2 linked regions of the Rhinolophus ferrumequinum genome follow. The protein of the gene in region 2 binds, or shares a complex with, the protein of the main gene of each other region. Links are inferred from orthologs where the notes say so. Each region holds a gene or a part of one and is shown on either strand. Other genes may lie near its edges.

The links.
Region 1: the proteins of WDR20 (region 2) and USP12 are in contact, whole or in part, in a crystal structure (PDB 5K1C), measured with the Homo sapiens proteins. The link is inferred for Rhinolophus ferrumequinum from reciprocal best matches to the Homo sapiens genes WDR20 and USP12. Residues at the interface, in NP_653175.2 of Homo sapiens: Asn41, Ser42, Gly44, Ser45, Arg151, Ser170, Lys259, Ser260, Tyr261, Phe262, Gly263, Glu282, Asp283, Asp284, Leu285, His301, Lys304, Ser305, Trp306, Gln374, Asp375, Thr376, Arg516, Met517, His533, Glu534, Arg535; in NP_872294.2 of Homo sapiens: Glu207, Asn209, Thr210, Ser211, Thr213, His214, Arg217, Arg277, Val279, Phe280, Pro281, Leu282, Glu283, Leu284, Arg285, Phe287, Asp297, Met299, Gln342, Glu345, Tyr348, Thr351, Ser352.

What each region holds. Positions count from the first base shown.
Region 1 is NC_046287.1:99,318,946-99,328,615, reverse strand, and holds the start of USP12 (ubiquitin carboxyl-terminal hydrolase 12), read left to right. Parts: upstream 1-3,490; 5' UTR 3,491-3,748; coding exon 3,749-3,796; intron 3,797-9,670. UniProt on the Homo sapiens protein: Deubiquitinating enzyme that plays various roles in the regulation of the immune response and inflammation.
Region 2 is NC_046289.1:2,663,854-2,673,523, forward strand, and holds the start of WDR20 (WD repeat-containing protein 20), read right to left. Parts: upstream 4,881-9,670; 5' UTR 4,773-4,880; coding exon 4,524-4,772; intron 1,332-4,523; coding exon of another isoform or gene 1,320-1,331; exon of another isoform or gene 1-1,319. UniProt on the Homo sapiens protein: Regulator of deubiquitinating complexes. Activates deubiquitinating activity of complexes containing USP12. Anchors at the base of the ubiquitin-contacting loop of USP12 and remotely modulates the catalytic center of the enzyme.

The sequences.
Region 1 (9,670 bases), on a different chromosome or scaffold from region 2:
TTAGGTGCCTGGCATATAGCAGAGCCTCATTACGTCTGAGGGAGTAATCTGGCAGCCTGAGGGGCTGTATTTGCCCCCCTTGACTTTTAAAATGTTGACTCTGAATGGCCATTCAGAGCTCTCCAGTTTGTGCTGCGGGCCAGGCCCTATTCTAAACATGCTCCATGCTTTATCCTCGGAGGTGGCCATAATCGTTACTCTTATTTTCTAGATGAGGAAAGCGAGACAAAGAAATATCTATTTGAGTATATTTTGTAGCTAAAACCTTCACACCAGTCCCAAAGGAGTCAGTGTCTCTCACGCTTATTCTACTAGCATCACATGAGCTGGCGTAGCAGAGCTGATACAAGTGTGGCCTCTGGAGCCAGGTTCAGTTCTCCCACGAGTTGTGTCATCTTGTGCAGGAGAAGAAAACTTTTCCCTTCTTCCCTTCTAGGTTCTTTGGCTGGTCTAATAAATTGACATAAGCCAGATTAACAGGAGGAAAAACAATTTAATTTGTACGTAGAGGAGCTCATAGAAATATGAGACTCAAAGAAGTGACCAAAGCAGGCAGTTTATACACCTTTTTTAGACAAAGAAAAATACGTGTGAAGAATTGACAAAACAAACGGGTTTGGGCTTGGGGTAGCTGTTGAGTGGAGAAGTACCAAGTTTTGTTTATGTAGCATTCTGGCCTTGAGTTCCCATGTCTGGTGATAAGGGTGTCTCTCTACGTCCTGGTACCGGGAGACCTTGCACATGGGAGATGTATCTCCTGCTTTCAAGGACTCAGGGGGCTCAGGGTATCTTTCTTGGACTGGCTGCAAGTAACTTTAATTCAAAATAATCAATATGCCAAAGTGGTATATTTGGGGATGGCATATTGTGCTCCCACTCACTTGGGAAAGGTATCTCTGTGCCTTAGTTTCCTTATCTAGAAAATGGGGATGACGATAATAACAGCATCTACTTCCCTGTGTTGTTATGAAGATTTGATAAAATGCTAGGTGTAAAGATAAGCACTGCCTGTCATTATGGGTGCCTTACACACTCTCTCTACCCTCTCCCACCACTTCCTTCCCCACTCCATCACAGGCAGCATGTCATGTATGTTAGCACCGTCAGGCAGAAGAGAGATGGCGAAATATATGAAGCGACATGTGGTTAGCGGGGAGACAGGATGAGTAACAGAAATATTTGGTGGTTTGCAAGGAACTGGACAGCAGAGGGTTGTGTAAAAGTATTCAAATGAAACAATTTTTAAAAATGTGCTGACCAAATGGATTAAGCTGGTCTCTAGTTTGTTTACTTGCTTGATCCCTGAGGTTATCTGGGTCTATTTTGTAGCTTACACTCTCAGGAAGGACCAAAAGAAATCGTTTGTATACAAGCTCATCTTTCTCTAGACACAATGAAGCTCTCTGTAAAACTTATATAGCTGCAGGTAAAACCTGTGTTCTAAGCCCAGATGACCGTCTCCAAGCTCTGGGTGCCAAAGTGTGGCGTTTCAGCCAAATCTTACCTTCAACTGCATTACATATGGTAATGTAATGGTGAAAACACCCAAGGAAAGCCCAGCACACAAAAGACTCTCTGTTTGTGCCTCTCCCATTAACCTTAGGCTGGAGAGACAAGGCACTGTGAGGTTCTGCAGTTAGGTGTTATGGTATCTCCTGCAAATATAGATGGCTGTAACATCAACTAAGCACCACTCCAGATAATTCTATCAGAAGCTTATGTATAAAGCTGGTGGCCTCTGTTCCTGTGACATTTTAGGATTCACGAACATGGAGGCATGGTAGTGGGCAGCGTAGAGGGAGGCGGGGGCTCAAATTCTGGCACTTTAGACCTGTTTGCTGGAACAAGTAGGGAGGACAATAGACATTTATCCAAATAGGCGAGACAGGGTCCCAGGGCATGGTGACACTGGGGGGAGGCCCAGGCAGGTCCTGGAGGCCTAAGCAGGATGGAACACAAGACAGACTTCCAAGTCTAGGCAGGAAACAGCCGCATACCTGAATGCCTGGAGTGACAAACAAGGTCCTCGTCACTGGCTTTGGGTATCAGGCAAAGAGGGAGTGCCCCAGCGTCCATGGAGGCAGGTGCCTGGAGAACCAGGCCAGCTACTATGGGATTGAGCTATGTTCTATTTGCATTTTCCCCCCAAGCAAGCTTATAATGGAAATCACTATGGAAACACTATTCATGCATCAGAAATCTATTTTTCACCTAGATTTTTGTTCGAATGTTTTGTTTTGTTCTTTGAATGCTTTTTTGAATGAGGTAAAGCATATCTGATTTTAGAAGTTTGTCTGAATTCAATTCTATCAGAAGCTCAGCCCCACTGAAATGGGGGAACCCAGAAAAGCACCCCATCACTGTATTTCACCAATCGAAAAATATCACAAGCTTTCTAATTTATAAAGTTATTCTATTAACTTGAACTACTTTCTCAAATAGGAAGAAATAAAGCTGAGTTGCTTGATACGAAGAAAAGGGTGCAATGATCAATTTTATGAAAGTAGAAAAGAGGAACTATACCACTAGCTAACGCTACTTAAATATTTCTCACCGGGCATTTTTCTCACTTGCTAGACTTCATGTCTCGGTAACATCATTATCACTGCTGGGTTGAGATCTTCCCTATTTTGCAACTCAATTTTCTGAATGAATATATTTAGAAACTATATTTATAAACATACTCTAAATTTATGGCCAACAGGCAGGCAAAGAGGCAGCTTTGCCCTCCACCCTCCACCCCCCCTCCCATTACTTACCTTTCTTCTTCATTCAAAGAGCTAAACATAGTTTCTTCTTTGCTTGCCTCTTTCATTTTCTATTTAGTCTTGCTAAGTTAGGGATTTTTGACCCATAAGTTAGGGGATTTTGACCCCGGTAATTCACCTACTATATATTAATATAAAAAGATACAAACCACTGGTAAGTGCTTGGGACGTTGGGTTTCCTGGGTTATTTTAACTGTGCAGAAGCAAGTTTCCTCCCATCCCACTCAGAATTACCAGATCACCGCCCCCGTTATTTGTTTCAGCAGTGCGGAATACCTGTCGGGTCGCCCTTGTTGGAGCCTGCGATCAGCCCCTTCCAGGATTTACACAGGTGGCCTCCGAGGCGACCCGCACCTCCCCGGGTAGCTCCTCCCAGCCAGGGTTAGGGCTGCCGCGCAGGCTCTAGGACCGCGACGCGGGCAGGAGGCGGTGCCTGGCCGAGAGCCGGGCGGGGCCGGCTCCAGAGTCCCCCGCAGGCGCACCTCAGGCGGGAGAGTCGTGCGCCGGGGGAGTGGGCGGGGCCGCGCGCAGGGCGGTCCTGGCGCGCGGAGTGGGCGGGGTTCCGCGTGGGGCGGTCCCCGTACGCGGCGGGTGGGGGGGGCGCGCCGCTGGGCAGCGCAGCTGCGGGGCAGACCGGGCATTAGGGCCTCAGCGGAGCCCGCTCCTCAGCGCGCTGGGCGGGGTGTGCGGCGGGTGGCTTCGCTGGCAGGCGCGGGCCCGGAGGCAGCGGCTGCGCCCTGCGCCGGGGAGGAGCCGGGGGCGGGCGGCCGGCAGGCGGGGGCTGGGGCCCGAGGCGGGGAGTGCCGGAGCGCCCGCGGCGACGACGGCAGCGGCGGCAGAGCAGGCTCCGTGCGTGGGTCCGCGGCGGCTCGGGGTCCGCCCGCGGGCCGTAGTGTGAGCGGGCGGCCGGGCTCCCTTCCTCCCCCGCCCGCTGCCGCCGCCGCCGCCACTGTGATTGGGTGGAAGATGGCGCTGGGCGGATGGAAATCCTAATGACAGTCTCCAAATTCGCCTCCATCTGTACCATGGTAGGTGCGGCGGGAGGGCAGCCGGGGCGACCCGGGATCCCTGGGGCGGGCGGGCGGTGCGGCCCTGGTCCCCGCCACTCACCCGGGTGGTCCGCGGAGCCGGGTCGTGAGGCGGCAGGCGGGCGGGGGCGGTTGGACTCCGGCGGGCAGGGGGCGCGGGTATTAGCGGCCCCCCGGGAGGGGGAGGCGGCGGGCGAGCCTGGGCGGCTCGAGGGTGACCAGCGAGGGGACACCGGTGCTGGACGTAGCGGGGAGCGGGCACTGGTCTCCAGCGCCCCGGCGCTCAACTGCTGAAGTCTTCCCGCGGCGCCGGGGCCGAGCGGCGGGGAGCGCCGGGCTGTGGGCGCGCGAGCTGGAGCGCGGTCCCGGCTGGGGTCGGAGGTGGAAGGACGCGGAGCGGCGCGCGCCGTTTCCGTCTGGCGGTGCGCGGAGCGGGGAGGTGGCCCTGGGCGCGGGTGGGGGTCCGCCGGCAGGAAGGCAGGGTCTCGTTCCTGCGGGAGAAAGGACGGAAGTCAAGTGCAGATTTCCTTCCCGCGGCGCGGGCGAGGCCGAGTCCCCCACCCGGTGCTCTGGAGAAGGGGGTGTGTATGAAGGTGGAAACTTTAAATAAGTGCTGTGGAAAATTTCCCCATTTCTACTCTGAGAGCGACGAGCTCTCCTTTTTCCAACCGTGTGTCCAGGTGGCAGTCTTGTCTTTGGGAATCCACGATAATATTGAAAACAGCTTAAGCTTTCCTGTCATTTGTTTACTTGATACACCGGGCACATCTGTGTGTGGCTCGAAGTAGTTCTGTGCAGGGACTGACTGCGAGCGTTATTGTGTGTGTTTTATCGGAGTTTTTAAATAGACTCTGACAGCGAAGTGCTAATGCCTGTGGAAAAGTCCCGAATGAAGCAAAACGTGGGTGCGTGTAAATCTCGGTGTTTTTGTGCTTAGGCAGAAGCACAATTTTCCACACGATGGGGCAAATTCGTTTCATTAGTTCTGTGAGGCTACATCTAGGGATCATAATTAGGAGCCGTTGCAGAAAAAGTTATTCTTTGCAACGTGGGCCTGGTGATCATGTTACTGAAGACTTCTGAAATCTTTCCTTCTGTCTATAGGAGGTCCCCAAACAGTCTTCCATTGAAGGGTGAGGCATTTTTATGTATCTTTTTTAAAGGAGTGGTGAGTCAGATCCAAAAGGTACTCTAGAAGCAGATTCTACACTGCTTTAGATGTTGATGAACAGTGTAAAAAATGGCCGAAATCAGGTGGGGTTAAAATCTGCAGGATTAAAGAAATCACATTGCATGAATCATTGGAGAATGCGTTTTCTGAAATAGATTTTTTTCCCTTCACAATTTATATTTTAGGAAGCACTGATATTAAAGGAACTGTATTGAAAGGATTTCTGAGGGTCATTTGGATTAATTATTTTTAGATATGCTGGTGATTATCTTACCATATTTCAAAAGGAATGTGATAATTAAGTCTTTGAAAGTGATAATCTTGCCAGATTGCTGAGCTACACGGATTGTCAGGTCATAGTTCATTGTCAAAGTCTAGTACTTCTGGAATGATGTGTTACTACTCTTTCCTAACCATTCATTCACACAGTATATCAGGTACACATTTGGCACCTACTTAGTGGTAGAGACTCAGTGCTGAGTGCTGGGGATGCAGCGGTGATCAAGACAGTCCCTGCTTTCATGGTGTTTACATTCTAGTTGAGGCGGACAGTATTCAAATGAACAGATTAATAACGCATGCTATAATCAGATTAGGAAACATGAGTAAGTGGGATTCTGATCTCAATGTCAGACTCCAAAGCTCTTTTTAGGGTTTCCGCTCTGGGGCATTGCATGTGGTGGGTGTGTATGGTTGGCGAATACAGAAACACCAACCAGTGCCTGGCCAAATGAGATTGTTCCAAAAGTAGTGTTAAAATTGCATCTATATTTATATTTGAATAAATTCTGATGTGTTTCTAAAGTAATGCAAATATCTGAAAGTAATCTGCAATGTTATTCTTTAAAGAAAACTGTAACCCACCTCCTGAGAATTACAAAATTGACAATCAAGAAAAGCAAAGATATTTGGCTCTCTGCCTTTGTAGATGCTATTTTGCTAGGCTTTGAACACTTCCCCCTTCCCCCTTTGTCAGTGAGTTCATACCTGACTGTCAGGCAGTTGACATTACTTGAATAATCCTTCCCCTGGCAATCCCTGTCCTGTCTTCCTTTTGTAATTTCACTGCTTTTTGTAATCTCAATAGCCTCGTATGTACTATGTTGTAAATTTTTCTCTCCTTTGCTTTTTGGATTGTGAAAGCCTCAAGGGGAAGGACTACCATTTATTTCTGCCCTTTGGTGGAGCACTAACTTCTGCATACAATAAAACAGTTTCCCCACTCCCTCTTTTCCTACCAGTAAGTGAGGACGAGATTGGGATGTGTGTGGAGTGGTGGAGGGGCTGCACCTAAAGATAGTTCTCAGAATCAGTAGCTGTGAAAACATTTATGATGAATTGAGATTTTATTCCGTAAATAATAAAGTTTATAAAGTTTTCATTAGGCAATGTAAGGTACCTGGGCAAAGTGGCACTACCAGGGTTGGGTAACTTTTTCTGTTAACAGCAAATCTTCAGATATGTGTTACTCTAGATCACTCTTGTTCTGCTACATGTGAATATTAGTAAAGTTTGTTTTTCCTAAATTAGCCTGACCCAAACGAGTGATTGTTTAGATTGCAATGAATTCATTTGCAAAGGTATCTCTAAAAATGCCTCTTATTTGTCCGTGAAAAAATACATTGTCAGTATTGCACAGTGTTTGTTTTGCCTCTGAAGTGGCTTCGAACTTCAGGGCCTGGCACAGAGTAGTTACCTAATATTTAATATTATGCTTAATAATTGTGAAATAATGGGAAAAGTGGCCGAAAACATACTCGTATAGAGAGGCCTATGTTTTGAAACTGAGGTGGAAGTTATGGAGCAGTTTTTGGTGGTCTGGGACCGGACAGTGACACGGGCCATGGCTGTTGCATGGAGGTCGGTACTCCCGGCAGGAGGGCTCCTTAATTGTCAGCTAGCTCCCACTGTGATAATTACACTCTCTTACTGTGTGGCTTGGGGAGGGGATAGGACAGAGCAGAGGTTGTTGCAGGGATAGGTGGCACTGGCCTGGCTGCTACTTGCCCATCCCCAGTCACAGGGTGAGATAGAACAAGGTGGCAGTGCGGCCAAGGCCACAAGTTAGCTGCCAGGGGGGTCTGACATCTGACAGGTTTGCCTGAACAAGCCTGTACCTAGCACAGCACCCTGTGCCTGGTAAACTTGCATCTACTTATGGGAGGAAAGTCACAGGTGAAGCTGGCTATTTGTCTTCTTTTTCACTGGCATCAGTCACTCACTACCAGTTAGATGTGGGTCTGTCAAAGCACTCCAGAAAGAAAGGTAAGGGAGCAAACAGCTCAAAGCCCTTGCCTTGTTGAGGGGGGTGGTTTGATAGTCTCCTCTTCAAGTAGTCAGAATATTGTGTTAAGTAATAAAATTCCTGGTTCTATCTCAAGAAATACGGGGGATGAAATTTTTGTGTAAGTAAAATATGTAATTGATTCTTACTGATACTTTATTAGTCAAATAGTGTCTCTATGATAGGCACATTCAAAGTGAGCTGCCATTGTTTTATTAATTTTTGCTGTTTTTACTGAGAGTGTTAATTTAAGAGGGATGAAAACTTCAGAAATAAGGAGTCTTCTATCAGGGATAAATGTTGGTTAAATGCTGACAAGGAATGTGTAGCACGTATTTGAGGAGGCTTAGTAGAGAACATTGAGCATAAGTGTTATGAATTTTTATTTAAGCCTGCTGATCTTTTGAATTTGGTTAGAATACGTTTTGGACATTAAAAATTACACGTTCTTATTATAGAAAATTTGGAAAATACTGTATAAAACAGAGTTTGGAACCTCTTAAGAAAGCAAAAAGAAAATATTTTGAACTTCCAGAGCATATTTTGTCTTTTTAAAAAAACCCTTAATTGAGCTTATACCCTAGATAAAATTTTACATTTAATTTGCCCCATGAATGATGGATTGTTTTGTTAGGTTTAAAATTTGTACTATTTCAGAGAAGCATGGAGAGTTGAATGCTTTAAAATGATGATAATAGCAAGACTTGAACCCAGTAAGGCACAGTGATAAGCTACTGAGTCCTTGGCAGGTTATAATGATTATTAGAGGATAAAGTTATGTAGTTATAAGGGACGATGGGCTATTCTAATCGTAGGCACTTATTAGTTATTGCAAATAAAGGTAAGACCATTGGGATTTGAAACTTAAATATACTTAAAAAGCTTAGTTTTAAATACCATAATCACTTATGTGCTGCAATGTGTATAAATACTCTGGTCTTATTTTATATCATATGGCTTTGCTTACCTTCTGGTGGTTTTCTCCACCTACCTATGGCTAATCGTTTTATAATAGATCTCAAAATAGGTTAATTATCTACCCTACCATGAACCACCATGCGATGAGGCCAGTGTCAGCAAGACTTTATCACGTCTTCTTGTCTTGTTCGATTCTAGGCTTTTGACCAAGCCCCATAGGCATTGAGTCCACCCCCTTTTTGTCACTTACAAGTTCTTTCTTCCATAAAAGTCATATTTATTGTGGCTCTCCTGAAACTTTTACTGTCTCAGATTATTTAAGCATTTGTTTACTTAGCATTAATTCCTTTCCAGAAACCTTCATTTTTCAGATTTAAATAATCTAATTTTGTTTTGGTTTCTTTTTCAGTAGGTCAATTTCAGAAATTTTATATAGTATTTTGTTATGTATCCTCCAGCATGATGCACTAAAAAGGACAGTTGGATCAGAAAGTAAATTCTAGTGCAGATTTTGACGTTTAGATCTATATGAGGAAGTCTCGTAAAACTTTCTGAGTTGATTTTTCTCATATGTAAAAAAATAAAGGGATTGGATAATTATTCCTTATGTGTTTCCATCTAGATCTAAAACTCAGTGCTCTCTGATCCTCTGAGAGTTTACAAGTGATTATTGATATCATCATTTTGCGAGTGCTAATCATGTTTTAGATAATATGAAGAGCACGGAATTAGACATAGTTAAATATGAATCATGCGCAATTTCCCAGTTTTTCTTTTTAGTGTTACTGAATTTATGGAAAGTTACAGTCCAAAGTGAATGTATATTTTTTCCTTTAAAAGCATTTAGTGAAGGTTAGTGATATCACCGTTTTATTCATTAATAAGCTAATTCACATAGCTGTTGACTTATTGTTGACATTTTTTTTTTTTTTTGCTTTTTCAATGCCATTTAAAAAAGATTTGAATTGGTTCCCTTGTTTGACATGCCACATTTCTCTAGCTGTGAGTATGCCCTTGGACAACTTCTCTGTGCCACGATTTCTTATCTGTAAAATGGGGATAAAATAATATCTCGTTCGTAGGGTTGTCGAGTGATCCCTGCCTGGCCCGTGGGAATCACTCTGTAACGGGCTGTTATGGCTGTTGTTACCCTTCTGAAGTGATGTGCTACCCTCAGCGTAAGAAGGGCTCACCTGTACTCATTCATGTTAGCTCAACAAACACTATAACAACACTGAAATTTGTTTTATGAAATACAGTTATTTCCGTTCATTTTCATCATAAGAAATACTGGTTTTATTAGTATATGCCTCAGAGAAAACACACATTGATTTTGAAGTTAAGTGAATTAGATTGTGATATACCAACTAAGAATGTAGATTGTCTTCTCTGTTTTGAATAGTTTGTAGGAAGAGATGTCATTCCTTTTGTCTAGGAATAAAAATGGTCTAATTTGTGACATTCTCAAGCATGTTTTACAACTTTAGATAACTTGGGAGTG
Region 2 (9,670 bases):
CTAATTCTACTTCTCACCTATTGTAGGAATTGCTTCAATAACATCTCTGGGCAGTACATTTGCAGCCAAGAATCTTAAGATTGGGGGAGGGAGTAAGGCTCTTTGACTTGAATGTCAAGTAATTCTGAGTACACATAGTTTTAAAAAGTTGTTAGTTGGTACGCAGCTATGGTAGGTAGCACGATTGGATAGAAGTAGATCAAAAGTGATCTGCGCCACTGGGTTCCTTTCCATCACTTCTTGTCTCTTGCTACATAATTTCCCAGTTGCAAGAAAGCTAAATTTGTAACCTACTAACAATAATTTTAAATGTCTTTAAAAAGATATGAGCTACTAAAAATAACTGTTACTTTGGGGCCCAAATTGAATAGGTTTTTCAGCTTCTAAAGATCTTTTTAAAGTATGACATAGATGGACATGGATGTTTATTCAGTTATTTACTCAACAAATAAATAGTAGGGGCCTACTCTGTGTTGGTCACTGCTGGGCAGTAGGAAGACAGAGAAAGCAGAAAAGACGTGGTCCCTATTCTAAGGGAGCTTTGTTTATAGAAGAGACGGTTACCCAGAGAATCACAAAGTTTAAAAAGTGCTAGAAAAGCAACGTACAGGATGCTATGAGAACACGTAATAGAGAAAACAACTGATCTAGCCTGGGAATTCAACGAAGGATTTGCTGAGGAAGTGATGTTTCAGCTGAGATCTGAATGGTGGCCATTCACATTTATGTTAAAACAGGTCTCCACAAAATGAAAGGTAAGTCCAATAATCCAGCTACCTTTGGCATCTTTATCCTAAAACAACCTTTTTAAAAAGAGGAAAGCAAAGTATGCTCTAAAGAGGCTTGAAAGTTAGCAGCTGAATGAATGTCCTTTGGGGAGCAGCAGGGTCTTACTCATCTTTTGAAACCCCGTATCTCCTTGCCTAGTATAAGTATCATAAGTCCCTCAAATCTTTGTTGAAATGATTAGTACCAGTATTAAATCAATGTTCACATTATCTTGAGTTGAGCAAAATAAATTCATAAAATTACATCTCCTCACATAAGAAACTCCATTCCAAACTTTGATTGTGAGTGCCACCAAGATTCAATGAGATAATATACGCAGAATGCTGGCGTAAATTCTGAAATACTTGAAGTATATGGCATCTGTGCAACCAAAAAACTTGATCAGTCTCTTCTTATTAAGACAGGTCTTTGGGTTCGGTGTGCTTCATTTTTCCGTGAGAAAACGCTGCAACACAGGTTTGCACATGCTCTCTCGCCTTGGTTTTCTCTGAGGGGGTGAGACTGCATAACCTCTGAGGTCCGTTTGAGCTCTAGAAACTGACCTGTACATGTTTTAAAAGGGCCAAGATTACTCTCCTGGACTTAGATGTTAGGCTACCTCCCCATCTACTCCACTCCCCCATGATTCCTTACTTCCTCTCAGGAATGGCAGCACAGAGTTCATGATTTCAGTTTTTTCTGAGGCTATTCTCACTCATTTTACATGCAGGTTTAAGTTGAATATACTCATCCAAATTTGATCTTCTGAATGATCTGAAAACTGTTGTAAAACTTTATATGCCCCGAAGAAAAACGGAAAAAAAATAGTCAAAATGACCAACTGTCAAAAACTGATGTATAGGGGCCGGCCCGGTGGCTCAGGCGGTTGGAGCTCCATGCTCCTAACTCCGAAGGCTGCCGGTTCGATTCTCACATGGGCCAGTGGGCTCTCAACCACAAGGTTGCCAGTTCAATTCCTCGAGTCCTGCAAGGGATGGTGGGCTCCGCCCCCTGCAACTAAGATTGAACACAGCACCTTGAGCTGAGCTGCCTCCCGGATGGCTCAGTTGGTTGGAGCACGGGCTCTCAACCACAAGGTTGCCAGTTCGATTCCTCGACTCCCTCAAGGGATGGTGGGCTCCGCCCCCTGCAACTAAGATTGAACATGGCACCTTGAGCTGAGCTGCCGCTGAGCTCCCGGATGGCTCAGTTGGTTGGAGTGCGTCCTCTCAACCACAAGGTCGCAGGTTCAATTCCTCGCAAGGGATGGTGGGCTATGCCCCCTGCAACTAGAAAACGGCAACTGGACCTGGAGCTGAGCTGCGCCCTCCACAACTAAGACTGAAAGGACAACAACTTGAAGCTGAACGGCACCCTCCACAACTAAGACTGAAGGGACAACAACTTGACTTGGAAAAACAGGCCTGGAAATACACACTGTTCCCCAATAAAGTCCTGCGCCCCCTCCCCAATAAAATCTTAAAAAAAAAAAAAAAAAAAAATCTGCTGTATAATGCCTAACTCCAAAAAGTCAGTTTGGGTTACTGATTAAGGAAAATTATGTGCTCTGTTTTAAAATCAGAAAACAGAGTCACAAAAACAATCATCTGTACTCAAAACTAATAAACCAATTCGTTCATAGGGAAAAAAATGTTTTAATTACAATGGCTAGAAGAGAGTTGCAACGTCCACCATGTGTATCTACAAGATACAAATGTATTTAATACAAGATATTACCACATGAAAATGAAATGTCACCAAAAAATTAAAGTGCTCAACTACATTACACAACTAAACGCAAATTTGCATGTTTAAGATTTTTGTCTTGTTCAAAATCATTTTTTGGTGGTTTTGAAAGGCTCCCCTAAGTTTTACCCTTCACTGTTAGCATCCCACTAAAGGAGAACACTGTTGTGATACTTTCAGGCAAGGGGCCTGTTTTTATGATGCAAACCAGGGCTGCCAGATCCAGATAAGGTTTGCTACTGGAATGCTCCAGAAATAATATACTTTCAAAGAAAACTTTTTTAAAAAATGGTGATGCCTACACTAGTAATTACTAGTAAATTTAGTTTTTAAGCACTTTTTGTATCTTTATATAAATAAAATTTATTAACTTAAAATTCCAAACTTATTTCCAGAGAAAAAGCTGATCCTTTCGGTCCTAGTACCAATGTCAAGATAGAAGCTTCCCGCTTGACAGTTACTCTTACTGCTTATTTTAACTATATTTTACATCTACTGTTTCAGGGCTTTAAAGCTCATTAGTCTTTATGTTATACATCACAGCATGCGTACTGCAGCATTTCTCCTTTTAAAAGGTCCAGAAAGAAGTTAAATAACTTGTCCAAGGTCACCCAGCAAGTCAGTGACAAAGTTGGGAGTAGGACTAAAACTTCAGCTCCTAGTCTAATGACTTCACTTTCCTAGTTCCAAAAGAGAAAAAGTAAGGCCAAGCGGTGTGCTTTCAGTAACTTATAACAGCATACTTCAAAGACAGTGAATGGTACACTTATCACAAACACTAACAACAAAGATTCACCTTGAACAAATGAGACAACTTGCTACCACTGTCATTTAGATAGCACTGTCATTCCCTAGTTTTTTTAACCAAGCAAAAGCAACCTGTTCTGGCTATTAACACTTAGAGAATGTTCACTCTTCAGTATATACAATTTATTTTTACACTAACCGAACATTTCTAAATCTGTTATCACCTTTTCCCATGCCTAGGTGCTGTGGAGTACATTTTAATTTCCTCTCTTCCAAGAGTCAAGTCAAAGAACGCATATCTCAAAAACAGTTCTCAATGAGAACAAAGTTATGTTGCCAATGAAAGAAAAGCTCTAATAAGTTGCTTCTTTTAAAGAGATTATTTTTAAAGGATGATTACATGCTTCACAGAATTACTGTTAAGTCGCCTGCCAAGAATGGTTCTGGTAAAGTAGCTTTTAAGGCATAGCCCTCCCTGTTTGGGACATAGTCTGACTTGTTGGACAAGACTGATCTGGGCACGCTCACACCGAACCCTTATGAACCACCTTAGTTCATTGACAACATCCTTTCGACCTCACAACTGTAGTAATCAGCCCTCCCATACTAGAAGGGACAAGATGACCCTCTTTAACAACCTCTCAGAAGGTTCCCTCGGCAGAGACAGTGACAGCAGTCCTCCCTCGGGTGTTTTTGTAAATAGAGTGTCAACACCAGGAGAGGCTCCTAGGAAGTGTCAGTGCGGCAGCAGGTGGAGTGGCCCTTCGTGCCCAGCAGGTCCTTTCTGACCTAGTCTCAAGTCCTCTCCTTCCCAGCCCGGGTTCCGCCTTACAGACCTTCCCAAGCCGCCTGTTCTCTAACCCAGAGCGAGACTCCCAACCCTCCCGGGAGGCGAGGCAACCTAAGTAGACTAGTCGGCCACCCCACCTCTTCCGGGGACTCGCAGGCCCGCTCCCTGGCCGTGTCAGAGCCTGACGGACCCTGCCAGAGGAGAGGCAGACGGCCCCTCCCGGGGCCTCCCAGACCGAACCCCGCACCCCACGGTCCCTTTCTACCGCCCCCATACCTTCGAAACGCCACCGCCACCAGCCGGCTCACTCCCGAATCCCCCTTCCGCAGGGGCACCCCAGTGGAGTTACCGGCCCACTCAGAAGTAAGAGCGACGGCCACCCCTATCGGTCAACCTGGCCCCCGCTGTCACCGCCCTGCTCCCGGCCTCTGCCCACGCCGCTGGGTGGCCCCGGTGACGCCCGGGTCGGTACCTTGCGGACCCCCTTGTAGATATAGAAGTAGAGCTCCCGGCCCACATTGAAGCAGAGGCGGTCGCCGTTGCCAGACTGGTCGTTGAGGTTTACGAAGGAGACGCGGACAGGGTTGGATCCCTGCGAGTTGAAGGGTACCCGGTTGGGCCGGCTGTACTCCGAGTGCGGCAGCAGCTTGTACAGACCTTCCCGGGTGGTGAATTGGGTCTTAATCTCGTTCATCTCCTTCCCTCCTCCCTCCGTCGCCATCTTGGAAAGCAGCGTTCATCCTGCCCCAAGTGCCCGGATCACGCCCACCGCGCAGGCGCCTTCCTCTCCCTCCAGCTCTTCCTCCTGGCCCCTCCCACTCGCGAGCCGGCCCAGCGGAGGCTGGCCGAGGGGAAGGGGCGGGCTTGTTTACGGCCTGACTGCGCAGGCGTGCTCACCTGGCGCGCTCCACGCTGCGGGGCGTCCGCAGGCTCCTCCTCTGGGCGCGGCCTGGGGCGGCCCCGCCGCGGTGCAGGTGAGGCCAGGCTCCGCCCGGGGGCGGGCTAGTCGTGTGGCTGTGTCCGCCGCCCGGCAAGGGCCGAGTTGGTAGGTAGAAGCCGCGGTCGGGAACGCTGAGGTGAACTCGGAGTGAGTGGCCTCCTCAGCTGCCTGCGGCCCTGCTCTGAGGGGCCCCGGCACCCAGAAGAGCAAAGAAAGAGAGCCGCCTCGGCAGCTGCCCCCTAGGGAGTCAGCACGTGGGGTACCGAGAGCGGAGGGCGGAGCCCCGGTGTTCTCCCTTCGGGAGGGTGCAGGAGCATCCGGAGGCTGCGAGGGCCGGTTCCCCGTCTCCCCTCCCCCCCCGCCGGGGCCTCCCTTCAGACACCCCGCACAATCGTCTGGATCCCCTCTGCACCTCCCTAAGTCAGTTTCCGAAAAGGTACCGAAAGACCTTAGTTTTGCGCTTCACCATTTCTTTTAGGCGGGGTGGAGGGAGAGGAATACAGTATATACACACAGAGAGAATATGTGTTTGCAGTTAAATATCTGAATACCTATTATAGTGAGCATTGGCTAATTTTAAGGAAAGTGGGTTGTGAGCACTTGTTTCTTAAGTCTGTCTTCACCAGGTGTTTAGAGAAAAGGGGTTGGGGAGGAGAATGGCTTTGGGACCCAGAGCAGGAATTCTAAGCAGGATTCACTTCTTTTGCTCAATCTTTTATTAAGAGCCCTTAATAAAATTAGAGATCATCGATTTAAAAAAAAAAGACTCAAGTGGAATCTGCGAAATTGTTTACTGGGCATAGTTGTATGCATATACTGCACTCTGTCTAGATATATAAGGACAGGTGTACGTGTTGAAGATTAAACAAGTGTCATTTTATACCTGGTTTTCTTGGCATGTTGCACTAGAATGAGGAAGGTTCTAATGTGACAGAAACATTCTGATAGAATTTGGGGCGGGCATTCCAACATTTGTTACACCAAAAATGAACTATTTCTTTAAGTTCAAATCATAGCTGGAGCGTCACAAAGACTGGAGCAGGTAAGTTCTAAAGTAAGAAGAGTCCAGATCATAAACATCTTATGTATTACAAAGCAGGTAGATGCCAGTGGAAACTCTACCAATGATGTAATAATGCACTTGACACTAACATCCTGTATCCTTTGTGCACGTTGGCAAAAAAGCGAGAGTCAAATCCCACTCAATAGATCCCTAAATATTTAAATTTTGTATTGTTTTGATGCTATCTGCATTTACCTAAAAGTCAAATAGATAATCAGAAGTCTTTAAATACCTGGATGTCTTCTGTGGTCACCAAGGATTTATCCCAATTTTCTATAGTGATTTTACATTGAAAATAGTATTTATGATGATCACCTTATAGGATAGTGACATCCTGAATCATCTAAAAATAATTCAGCTGCGTTCCCTAGTTATCAAGGAAGAAAAAAGCATAATAATACTTTTTGGAGGAAAAAATAGCAAGCAAAAATTAAAACAAAAAATTTTATTAGCCCTCAACCACAATTTTCAATTACCCATAATACATGTATACCTCGAGCATCCTATTAAAGTTCTATTCTATATAAATTCAACATATTTTATTGTGATTACAATAATAGGCTGTTCACTTTGTCTCATCCAAAGCCTTTGAATAATCTGTATTTTTTTTTTTAATGGTAGGATGTATTTTCATTTGCATTTGTTTCTATGTATCTTTTGATCTCTCCTCTTATTTTTTTTTTAATTTTATTGGGGAAGGGGAACAGGACTTTTATTGGGGAACAGTGTGTACTTCCAGGACTTTTTTCCAAGTCAAGTTGTTGTCCTTTCAATCTTAGTTGTGGAGGGTGCCGTTCAGCTTCAAGTTGTTGTCCTTTCAGTCTTAGTTGTGGAGGGCGCAGCTCAGCTCCAGGTCCAGTTGCCATTGCTAGTTGCAGGGGGCATAGCCCACCATCCCTTGCGGGAGTTGAACTGGCAACCTTGTAGTTGAGAGTCCACTGGCCCATGTGGGAATCGAACCTCAGCTCCAGGTCCAGTTGCCATTGCTAGTTGCAGGGGGCATAGCCCACCATCCCTTGCGGGAGTTGAACTGGCAACCTTGTAGTTGAGAGTCCACTGGCCCATGTGGGAATCGAACCTCAGCTCCAGGTCCAGTTGCCATTGCTAGTTGCAGGGGGCATAGCCCACCATCCCTTGCGGGAGTTGAACTGGCAACCTTGTAGTTGAGAGTCCACTGGCCCATGTGGGAATCGAACCGGCAGCCTTCGGAGTTAGGAGCACGGAGCTCCAACCGCCTGAGCCACAGGCCGTCCCCCGAATAATCTGTATTCTTAATACTTTTTCTCTTGTAATTTTTTTTCCACCACACTCAAAGATTCAGTAAATAACACCTGAATTTATATAACTGGGCCCGATCTGAAGTTCATTTCTGATTTTCAGTTTCAAACCAGGCATTTCTAATTGGATTTGTGCCTCAAATTCATTATTCTCTAAACCTTATCGGTTCACTTTCCTTTTCTTCAAACTTGAATCATTATAAAATGGCTTTATGAATGATTTCCTTAATTTCACTTTTTCTCTCAACTTTGCTCCTATAAACAACTTCCAAATTAATTTTATTGAAACAATACTTTAGACATATATTCTCTTGCCCAAACACTTTCAGTGATTTGCAAAATTCATATACGTATTTAAGTTATACACCAAGCAGTTCTTGGCCTGTTAAGTATTGCATAAATCCCTCATTCCAGTCAAACTGTTCTGCTGTCACCCTTAGCTCTTTCTTTTGCTTGAAAAGAACCTTCTTTCCTTTATTTTCCTTTTCATAGCCTGTTCCTCAAGAATTAGTTTAAGTTCTATCTTCACCAAGCCTGTCCCAAGCCCTGGGTGATAAAACCATGTTTAAAGTCAAGAATTCTCAATTCCCAGTTCATGGCTGGCTTCAGGGCGGGTTTGAACTCCTTGTAATTATATTCAAAATTGTGTGTACATGTTCATTGGATCATGGGAGTCTATAGCTTTCATCAGATTTTCAAAGAGGTGTGACTACCTTCCTGCCAAATTTAAAAATTACCTCTCTGAACTTCTGTGGCACTCCTCCGAGCTTTCATTTGTCCTATGTAATAGCCTAAAACATTACCATCTTTTGGTATTTGTCAGCATATGCTAATTATCTTGTATTGATACTTATCTTTTCGTTTGTATATGCTGCCTTTCTACCGGAGTATATGCACATTCAAGGATGTGAGGGAACTCGTTAAAATTATTTGTATCCTCAAATATTTATTTGAGTGTCCCCATGTGCCACACTAATTCTAGCCTGGGGGATGCATCAACAAACAAAAATCCCACAATCATGGAGTCTATATTGCAAGAAGACAGGATAAACAAACAAATAAACCGACTAGCGATTGTGCTAGGAAAAGTGGAGTAAAGTAAGAGGATCGCTTGGGGGTGTGTTGAGTGGTTTGCCATTTAAAATATGGTAGTCAAGGTAAGTCTCATTGAGAAGGTGGCATTTCAGCAAAGACTTGAAAGAGGTGAGGGAGTGGGCCGTGGGCAGATCTGGGAAATAGCTGACCAAGCAGAGGAAAAGCCATGGCAGAGACCCCAGGGCAGGAGTGTGCCTACCTAGCATGTTCAAGGAACAGCAAGTCTGTCAGTGTAGCTGGAGCAGAGTGAGCAGGAAAGCCATTGCAGGGTTTACGAATCCATTTGTTGGCTGGTTTGAGAGTAGACTAAGGGAAGCAAAAGTGGAAGGGAAGGCCACTTTGGAGGCTAACTGTAGCAATCCAGGCCAAAGGCAGTGGAAGCTTGAACTAGGGCTGGTAGCAGTTGAGATTGAGAGACGTTAGAGAGTCCTAGGTATATTCTGAAGGTAAAGCCAGTAGGATTTCCCAGCAGGTTAGAAAGGGCTGGTGGGAGAAATGGAGGAGTCAAAAATGAATGCAAAGTGAGCATAAGCAACTGGAGGATGGAAATGCCATTCCATTAACTGAACTGAAAAGAGTGGAGCAGAGCAGGATTTGAAAGGAAGACCAGGAGTTCAGTTTTGAACATGATGGGTGTGAGATGTCTATTAGGCAGTTAGAAGAAATGTCCAGGAGGCAGTTCAATAATCAAGTGTGGAGAGAATACTCAAGTCTGAGCTGCCCACGTGTGTTTGGCAGGCATTAGCTGATAGACAGTGTTTAAAGCCTGGATACTATCACTGAGGAAGTGAGTATGAACAGTGGCACAATCCAGGAGATTGGGGACAAGAGCATACCAATATTTTGCAACTTAACACATAAAGAGTATTTACTTTAGGTCAAATTTGTCATTATTTTTCAGATTCAGAGATTAATCCAGTAAGATAATGAAAAGCATGTTTGTTTTTTAAACTTTGAGGAGTTTGCCACAGTGACCTGCTAAAGAGAAATAGGCATCGATGGGTATCTTTAGGATATTGGAAATGTTTACTGACTCACTGTGTGAAGTAACCAATCTCTCAGATTTATCTTACTGCATGAGCTTGTTCTATCATTACGTTAGGATTCGGTACTTCCTTATAAAACCACATGGAACTTGAAAACAAGCTTGGGAAACATCCCATAGCACAGTGTCCTAAACACAGCACTCCTTTTTCCCTCAAATTTGCAGAATGGTAAAGATGACGTACCATCAGAATTGCTTA